Linked DNA regions of Mus musculus: region 2 is reported to be linked to region 1. The links are microRNA targets in miRTarBase. Many come from high-throughput screens and were not tested one by one. Region 1 holds a microRNA gene; the other region holds the end of a gene's coding sequence.
What was found. The annotated mature microRNA mmu-miR-3065-5p reads UCAACAAAAUCACUGAUGCUGG and lies in region 1 at 1,201-1,222, shown strand. An mRNA with a match to its seed (bases 2 to 7 or 8) in the 3' UTR can be bound and repressed. Matches are read on the target gene's strand: a 7mer-m8 pairs with bases 2 to 8, a 7mer-A1 pairs with bases 2 to 7 and ends in A, and an 8mer does both.

Region 1 (4,000 bases):
CAGGGACAGGATGGGAGTGAGCTCCGCTCAGCAGCTGCCCCTGCACACGGGCCCTGACGGCCTTACTCACCCTGTATTTGCAATGCGACAGGCCATAATCACCAACCTTCACTGTCAGGTCAGCCGTAAGCAGGCAGTTCCTCAGGGCCAGGTCACTGCGGAGTGGAAGGCAATGTCAGCAGAGTGTGCCAGCCTGAGTGAGCCCTGGTGGAATGGTTGGGCTCCCGGGCACAGCCAGGCAGACCGACAGGAAGGGGTGTCTGAGGGGCCACCCACTTGTGCCCAAGTTCTGGCTCCACACCCTGTACTGGCTATTTTGGAAGACCTGTGTGGACTTCAATGCATTTCTAATACTTCTTCTTCTTCTTTTTTTTCTTTTTTTTCCAGACAGGGTTTCTCTGTGTAGCCCTGGCTGTCCTGGAACTCATTTTGTAGACCAGGCTGGCCTCGAACTCAGAAATCCTCCTGACTCTGCCTCCCAAGTGCTGGGATTAAAGGCTTGCGCCACCAAGCCCGGTTTTCAATGCACTTCAATGCATGTGAAAATCAGGCAAAAGATGCTCAAGGACGACCCCCCCCCCCCAGCAAAGTGCTGTCTAACTGCACCAGAGCCCTAACCCGCTCCACCCTCTGTCTGATCTGCCCAACAAGGGCCAACAAGCCATGGAGCAGAGAGTCTGCAGTGTCCTCTCAGGACCCTCACCCTTCCGACTACACTCCACCATCCCAGTCCCCAGGAGGTAAGAACTGATGGAGAAACCGAAGCCCGGAGTGTCTCAGAGGGTCCTGCCAGCAGTCAGAGCCCATGTTCTAGAGTGCAGCCCTGCCTGGCCTGCTACACAAGCTGGAGCCGAGGTCTAGAACAGTATGGACCACAAAGGCCCCTTTGTGTGGAGGATAAAAATCACCAACTCAGTGGGAAGCCTGGAATGCCAGGCTCTGTATAACTCTTGCTTGGCTATAGCGCCCCACCCCCAGGTGTTTGGGGTACAGGACAATAGAGTGCCACGGGACGCACCCTCATCTGCCATACTGGCTGTTCTGCTGAGAGATCTCTGGATGTAGATGGGGCCACCTTGGCCTGCCTCTACCCCAGGAGGACTGTGTCAGGGGACAGGGTGGGGTGACCTGGGTCCATGCCTATGGGTGGGGCAGCTGGGCTAGGCAGCAGGCAGGGCAGGAGGCTGGCAGCTGCCCTCTTCAACAAAATCACTGATGCTGGAGTCACTGTGCACCCACTCAGCACCAGGATATTGTTGGGGAGGACGGCCTGTGCAGCGTTGGAGCTGGTGGGCCGCTTGTCCGTTGCCACTTCTTCCAGCATGTGCCCCCAGCTCATGGGAGGCTGGGCATCCTGGCCACCAGAGGCAGGAGAGAGCCACCCCTCCCACTACAGGGCCAGCCCAGCCACTCCCTTTGTGGCCTGAGGGAAAGAGGCTGGGGTTGGTATGGAGCCCAAGTATGGCTGACTGCTCTAGTAGACAGGATGGGTTTCTTCATTTAACTGTCTGCAAGGTGAGTTTCAAATGCCAAGTCTTCACAATTTATTTCATTTTGAGATGGTCCTGCTACATAGTCCTGGCTATTCTGGAGTTCATTAGGTAGACCTAGCAGGACTTGAACTCACAGAGATTCTCCTACCTCTGCCTCCCAAGCGCTGCAATTAAAGGCGTGAGCCACCATGCCCAGTTAGTTTTCCCAGTTCTAAGAATGATAAAGTTCCCTGCAGAGTGGCTATTTTTAGATGAACCCAGTTCATGAGGCCCACAACGTGGGATCACCGTGACTTTTCTGCACAGGGTCGTGTGATGGTGAGGGTTAAGGCCCTGGGGGAGTGGGGCTTTGTAGCTGTAGCCTGGCTAGTCTCGCTAGCCCTCACCTGTGTACATAGTTGTGTCGATGTAGATGCAAGACGCCACACGCCACCTCGCACGCCATGCGCTGCAAGGTAAGTGGGTCAGGCGCCATGGACTCTGTCACCCGGCAGCTCCGTAGATAACCTTTGAGGTCCCCCTGATGGACGAGAGAGCACACAGTCACCTGCTAGCTGCAGCGACCAGCCCATCACAAGTCTGCCACCCACACCAAGAGAACCTGGGTCTGGTGGCCTGTGGATCAGCTGTGAACCCTAGTGTTCACTGCTGTTTCAGCAAAGCCTGTGTCTCAATTCTGGCACAGTGACCTCCATATAAGCAGCCACCAGAGCTGTGCATGTAAAGGGCCCAAGGGGCAACACGAAGACCCAGAACTCAGGCTCTGCCCCAGGAGCTTCGGGAGCCCTGTGGCTGTCCCAGGACACCTCTCGCTGAACTATCCAAGACCCCACAGTGTTGCCCCTGCTGCTGCTGGCTCACTTTCTCTCCGCAGACCTCCTCTGAGGGAGAGCAAGGACTACCAGGACTCTACTTTAGAAATAACAAAAGACCCCAAGAGGCTGAGCAAGAGAGGAGCCACTCCCCTTTGGAACAATGAGCTACAGAACAGGACCGGGAGAGACAGAGCTACCTCCCCGAGAGGACCACTTACCAGTGGACAGAACTCCATAACCAGCAGGTAGGGGGTCACTTCAGCACACTGGGCCAGGCACTGGAGCAGGTTGCTGTGCTGCAGGGCCCTGGAAGAGTCCACGGGTGTTTAAGTTGGAGGGCAGGAGAGGGTGTCCCATAGCCCTCAGTTTCTCCCACTGTGCTGCTCCCCTGCCCGGCCCCACCCCGCCCCCGCCACACCACCCACCTGTAGGGCTGCGCCTCCTCCAGGAACTGCATCTGCTCCTGCACGCTGGCGCTCACCTTCAGCTCCTTCACCACCACCTGCGTGCCACTGACGCCCGAGTGTACCTCCCCCAAAAACACCTGCCAAATGTGACAGGCATCACCAGGTCCCCTTTCAGTCTCCATAGGAAAAGCCATCTAGCGCCCAGGGCCTCAGATGGTCATACAACTTCTCACCAAGCTCTGGCTAGAACCCTCAGCCCCAGTCCACCCACAAGGCTCCTACTTTTCTCACTGCCTGGGGACTACAATGAGGAAAAAGGAATCAGGTACATGGTCCAGTCTGGGGCGGGTGTTAGAAAGAGCCCCTCCCTAGGGGATCCCCAGGAGTAGTGGGTCCACCCTTTGCCATTCCTGCCACCCCGGGGCATGCTTACCTTCCCAAACCAGCCGTGGCCAATCTCCTTTAAGTACAGGAGGCTGTGCCGGCCCAGGTCCGTGGACTTGAGAAGTTGCACTAGAGTGGAACAGAAATCCAGACACAGCTTAGCCACCGCTCCCTCTCCATCTTCCCGACCACGCTCTCCAGAGCCCAGAGAGCTTTCCCAAGCTCCCCAGCCAAAGAAGCTTCAATAAAGTGGAGGCCAGGTTTGAGCGCTGTCATCGAGGGCCAGTGTCTCTTAGGCTCTGGGGTGGCTGCTGTCAGCAGAGCTATGGACCTCAAGTCTCCATCCAGGCAAAGCCTGGGGATGCCCAGAGCAGAGCCACAGGGAGAAGCCAAGCCCAAACAGCAGGGCCTGGAAAGGCGTTTGGATGAGGCAGGAAGCTGGTGCCGAGGCCTGGGAGGACAGCAGAGCAACCAACCCCCTACCCCTGCCACAGGCTGGCATTCAAACCCCCACCACAGCAAAGCCGCCTTTGTTGGGGGCTGCTTGGCACAGCCCTGTACGGGACACACTGGCTCCATTCTCCCTGTGAGACAGGCAGAGTGAAGTCAGAGGAGAAGAAGGGTCAGCGTGGGCAGAGGAAAGGGCCAGGGCTCACTGCACCCACTCATGCCCCCTCGGATTCTCTGAATTCTGCTCCCACGCTGATAGCCCAGAAGGCCGGGGTCAGGGCTGCTGGGACGCCCAAGGGAAGATGGCAGCCCTCGGGGACTAAGTCTGCTTGGTGCCCAGCTCATGGAAGAGTCTCACCGGGCACTGTGCCCCCAAGACTTACACCCTGAACCTAATCTGTCTAAATGCCTGGTGGAAACCCTGGGGTCTCTAGGACCTCAGTTGTCCCAG
Region 2 (4,524 bases), not on the chromosome of region 1:
GAGATCATAGCAAACATTTAACATGAGATTAGGTCAGCGTATTCACAGCTGCTTTTTTATTTAATGTAGCTATAATCTGTCTGATTTATTTTTTAGGTGCTGAGGGTCTAAATGGCGGAGAGGAGTCCTTAAACATGAATGATGCAGATGAAGGATTTTCATCAGGGGCTTCTCTTAGCAGCCAACCACATGGGACCAAACCACCCTCCTCTTCTCAGCGGGGAAGCTTGCGGAAAGTAGCAACTGGGCGTTCCGCCAAAGACAAAGAAACAGCATTAGCCATCAAATCCAATGAGAGCCCTCGAGATTCAGTAGTTGGAAAGCAGTTTGTACAACAACAAGCAGATCTCAGCATAGATTCAGTTGAGCTGACACCGATGAAGAAACACTTGAGCCTGCCTGCAGGCCAGGTGGTGCCAAAAACCAATAGTCTGAGTCTAATCCGGACAGCCAGTGCTTCCTCAAGTAAATCTTTTGACTATGTAAATGGCGGTCAAGCAAGTACCAGCATTGGGGTTGGCACTGAGGGAGTTACTAATCTAGCAGCTACAAATGCTAATCGATATTCAACTATCAGTCTACAAGAAGACCGGCTAGGTCACGCTGGTGAAGGTAAAGAGCTCCTCAGCCCAGGAGCCCCCTTAACCAAGCAGTCTCGATCCCCAAGTTTCAATATGCAGCTAATATCCCAGGTGTAGTTCTGATGCCCCTTGTTCTGCTAACCTTCTACACTGAACATTTCATTGTGCAAGACACGTCATCCCGCATTGTGAAAAGATGTCACTGTCATCAGATTTGACTTAGCTTAGGTATCTCATACTGTATTTTGTATGGAAACAGCAATAAGGTTTTCCTTTCCTTTCTTTTAACCTCTCTACCTATTCCCTTAAATGTGTTTGTGAAGCAGTGTAAAACGTTTGCCTTTTCCATGCCTTCCTTTCTCCTTGGGTGATGTGCAATCCATCGTAGGCTGATCGGTCCCATTTCAACACTGTGAGACTGAGGAGATGTCGAGGAAATGGTGTATAAGATCCCTATGAAATGATTCTTTGGCTTTTGTTTAAAAACAAAACGGGTTTGTTCACATAATCTATGAACTATGAAGATAACTGGATCATATGTTTTCTCTCTAACCAGGAGTGCCTCAGAGATTCTGCTATGACTTTGGGCTTCTCTGAGCCTGTGCAATTTTATATTCTTGGGAAGCATGGGGGAAAGTGGTAGACTACTGCAATTTTTTTATTAAAATGAGGCTAACTGCCCCCCTTACTTTATCCCAAGGACACAAATGTTTAATTATTGAGGCATTTAAATCAATTTGTGACCACCTCCATTGGAGGGTAGGGCTCTAAGTTGATTGTGTGATTGATAATGCACTTTCTCAATGGCTCTCTAGTCATTAACAACAGGTCTTCCCTCCTCCCACAAGGACTTAAGGACATTTCTGCCCTTAAAGTTTGAACTAACAAATCAGAGACTCAAAGGGGCGTGTTCTATTTCCCAGGAATGATTGATATTATGGTGCTGGGGCTTTGTTGGGGGAAGGGTGTTGTTTGTTTAGTTTGTGTGAGATTGTAAATGAGGTGAAGTTATAATTGTTTTCTTTCTTCCTTTCCTTTGTGAGTTGGTGATGACTGAAGTAGACACTGTACGTCTTCAGGTAAAGAGAGGGATTTCTCAGTCCACTCTCTGAGATATCAGACTAGAGAAACCCTTTCAGCTGCTTCCTAGATGTACCTAGATTCAGTCAGATATGGGATACAGAAACCTAAAGTCCTGAGATCATATACTCCAAGGAAACACATCAGGGACAGGTGATTGGTTGAAAACACTGATGCTTCTATGTGACACATTTGTATAGAACATTTCTACCAGAGGGTACTGACTTGATTGCTCTACAAGGACCACACTGCCTTTGTGTTTATTGCAGTTTGTGTATCTTCTGATTATCTGCAAAGTTTCTCGTTTTTATAAAACGTTGAAATCATGCCAGTAAACTAGATGTTGAATGTAAATGAGTAGCATTTGGTAACTGCTAAGAGGCTACAAAAATGCATTATTAGTTTAAAGGATTTTTGTTGTGATTTGGTTGGATAAGACTTTCTTATAATCTCTTCTGGGTCTCAGGCTTTGTTTGAAAAAGAAGGGAATATATTAGGATTTTAAAAATCAGTATTGTGTGACTTCAATTGCTATGAATTACCCATCTCAAGAACATCAGTTACACACACCCTTGTACATGTAGACATTTTATGTATTGTGAATGAAAATTACACTGCCTATATAGGAAGCAAGTGTCCTCTTAATTGACAAAGTTGTTTTATCTCTATTTACCGTAAAATTTGATAAATTAAATAGCCAGGAAAACGCCTCTCTTTTTTTTTTCATACATAAACCACCATTTTTGGAGGAGTTGTCTATCTGTCCATCTGTCTGTCTGCATTGTGTTAGAATAATCCTTAATTAGATTTGATAGTTTATAACATTTTTCAGCTCCCAGCAAATAGGGAACTAGAACCTCAGCTATTATCCACATCATTGCCAAACTTTGGAGTAAAACTAAAAGCTGAAATGTGATCTATTGATTGTTTATAATATGCGTATGATATGTGTATCCATTTATCACAGACACATTTTAGCCCTATTTCTACTAATTTAACTAAGAGATATCAAGTAAACTTAAAAGAAAAAAGAATTGTAAAATAGTAAAATAAAATGTTTTTGTAACCTACTGAACAGAGAGGCTTTGTGGTGCATAAGGAAGGTATCAGTCTTAGATGGCAAAGCACGCCTACTTCATGCTGGAGCTCACAGGCGCACATGTAACAGACTGGCATTTAAACCAAGCATTTTAAATAAAGCACAAGAGAATACCAAATAACTTGAAAGTATAGCATAAACTGTTGTAAATATGAGAAAAAATCTTTTGATTAGAAACATCATAACTGAAGAGTTGGTTTAAGAATCAGGAATGGTGGCATACACCTTGAATCCCAGCACTCCAGAGGCAGAAGCAGGTGAATCTCTGAGTTCAAGGCTGGCCTGGTCTACAGATGGAGTTCTAGGACAGCCAGGGCTACACAGAGAAGGCCTGTCTCAGAAAAGAAAAAAAAAAAAAAAAAAAGGTTTTTTTCATCTTTTTGTTGGCATGTGTAGACTTTGTATATACATCCCAAGTAATATTTCACAATCCTGAAACATTTGCTTCATATTCTTTGGGCTATAATTTGGTCTCAATGAACAAGTTCTTCATTTACACTTTATAGCAAGGGTCTTAGAATACATTTTCTGTGTAAGATAACAGTTAAAATGAAATGAATTAAAATTAGACAAACTACCAAGTTTTCTAATGATCATTTCAACCACTTTATGTTACCATCATTGAATTTAAAATGGTTTTTGTTCAGTTATACAGCAGCTGTTAAAAATGTCATAGAAAGTTAGAAATGTCCATAATTTAACCTTTAATAACTTCCCTTTAATATTTCTCAGCTTTCATGAAGCTTCATCGCACTAGTAGAAAAAAAGCATTTAGGGGAAAATATTTGTCTTATATTGATGCCATCTGTACTAGGTTAGATTAAGGACTACAGTATCTGAAGGTTTTAGGAGTTTTTCTATATGACTTTCAGTTAGTTTTACTGGTAAGAAAGCTAAAATATAAAGTAAAAAGTTAACTTACAAGCTAGGGAGGGAAGAGTTGTCATTTAAAATCTTGGTCCTTTGCCAATGCCCCTTTTTTCGCAGCCCACTGTGCTGTGCCTGTTTGTTGCAGATCAGGTTTCTGTGCTAGAAGAGACCCTAGAGATAATTTGGCTCTTCTCTCTGCCATACACACACATTGCATCCTCAGGACACTGAGGCTCAAAGGAGGATGTGAAATAAGGCCCATGACTAAGAAGCAGGGCCATAATCAAACCTTGTCTCTAGTCACGTGCATATTGATGCCTCATTGCCTCTGGTTATCCATACTTTAGTAAATGTGATATGAAACACTTCCATTTCTGCTATTTCTTTATGTTTCTGGTCTAGTAGCTGGTGAACACATTAAGAAAAGTATTAATTCCAGAAGGAAAAAAAAAGTAAAATAATTAATACAGATGGGGATGTGTTCAAAATGTAGGTGTCTGTATAGCACATTATTCTTTTCTAATTTATGCCTTGTGAATTTTCTACCACATAACAGTTATATGCTGCCATGTTATTTGTATTTTGGGGGATTTGTTTAGATGCAAAATAAACCCAATGAAATTTCCTTGATCAGTGTTTCTAACTATTTGAAAGTGATCTTTAATCAGCCAGTTTTCAGTCATCAAAGGTACACTGTAGAAGATTGCAGAGTAAAGATAAACTCAATTCCATTCATTTTTCATCTAGAGAGAAATTGTTCCTTACTCGGCTTAGAGTAGATAAGAGCAATATTCCTCTACGTTACTGAAAAAGAAGAATAGTGAGTGTGAAACTTTGAATCCATGCACAGTGGTCTCTGGGTCATTTATCACATATAGACCAGATAAAAACAAC

Region 2: the mRNA of Fam126b is a reported target of mmu-miR-3065-5p. Seed matches in the 3' UTR shown: 7mer-m8 at 1,532-1,538, 7mer-m8 at 2,075-2,081, 7mer-m8 at 3,140-3,146 and 7mer-m8 at 3,766-3,772.

What each region holds. Positions count from the first base shown.
Region 1 is chr11:120,013,580-120,017,579 of GRCm38, forward strand. Mir3065 (microRNA 3065) reads left to right here and starts at 1,188; the gene lies at 1,188-1,274. It overlaps Aatk (apoptosis-associated tyrosine kinase), which reads right to left. Exons shown (of 14, transcript NM_001198785.1): 4 at 3,149-3,228; 5 at 2,734-2,852; 6 at 2,527-2,614; 7 at 1,880-2,013; 8 at 71-155. Mir338 (microRNA 338) reads right to left here and starts at 1,283; the gene lies at 1,186-1,283.
Region 2 is chr1:58,525,832-58,530,355 of GRCm38, reverse strand. It overlaps Fam126b (family with sequence similarity 126, member B), which reads left to right. Exons shown (of 13, transcript NM_001310598.1): 13 at 97-4,524. The coding sequence ends at 698. All of the region lies in intron 2 of Gm15834 (a long non-coding RNA gene), which reads right to left. Among named protein-coding and RNA genes, the nearest start is that of Gm15834, 23 kb to the right of the region's middle.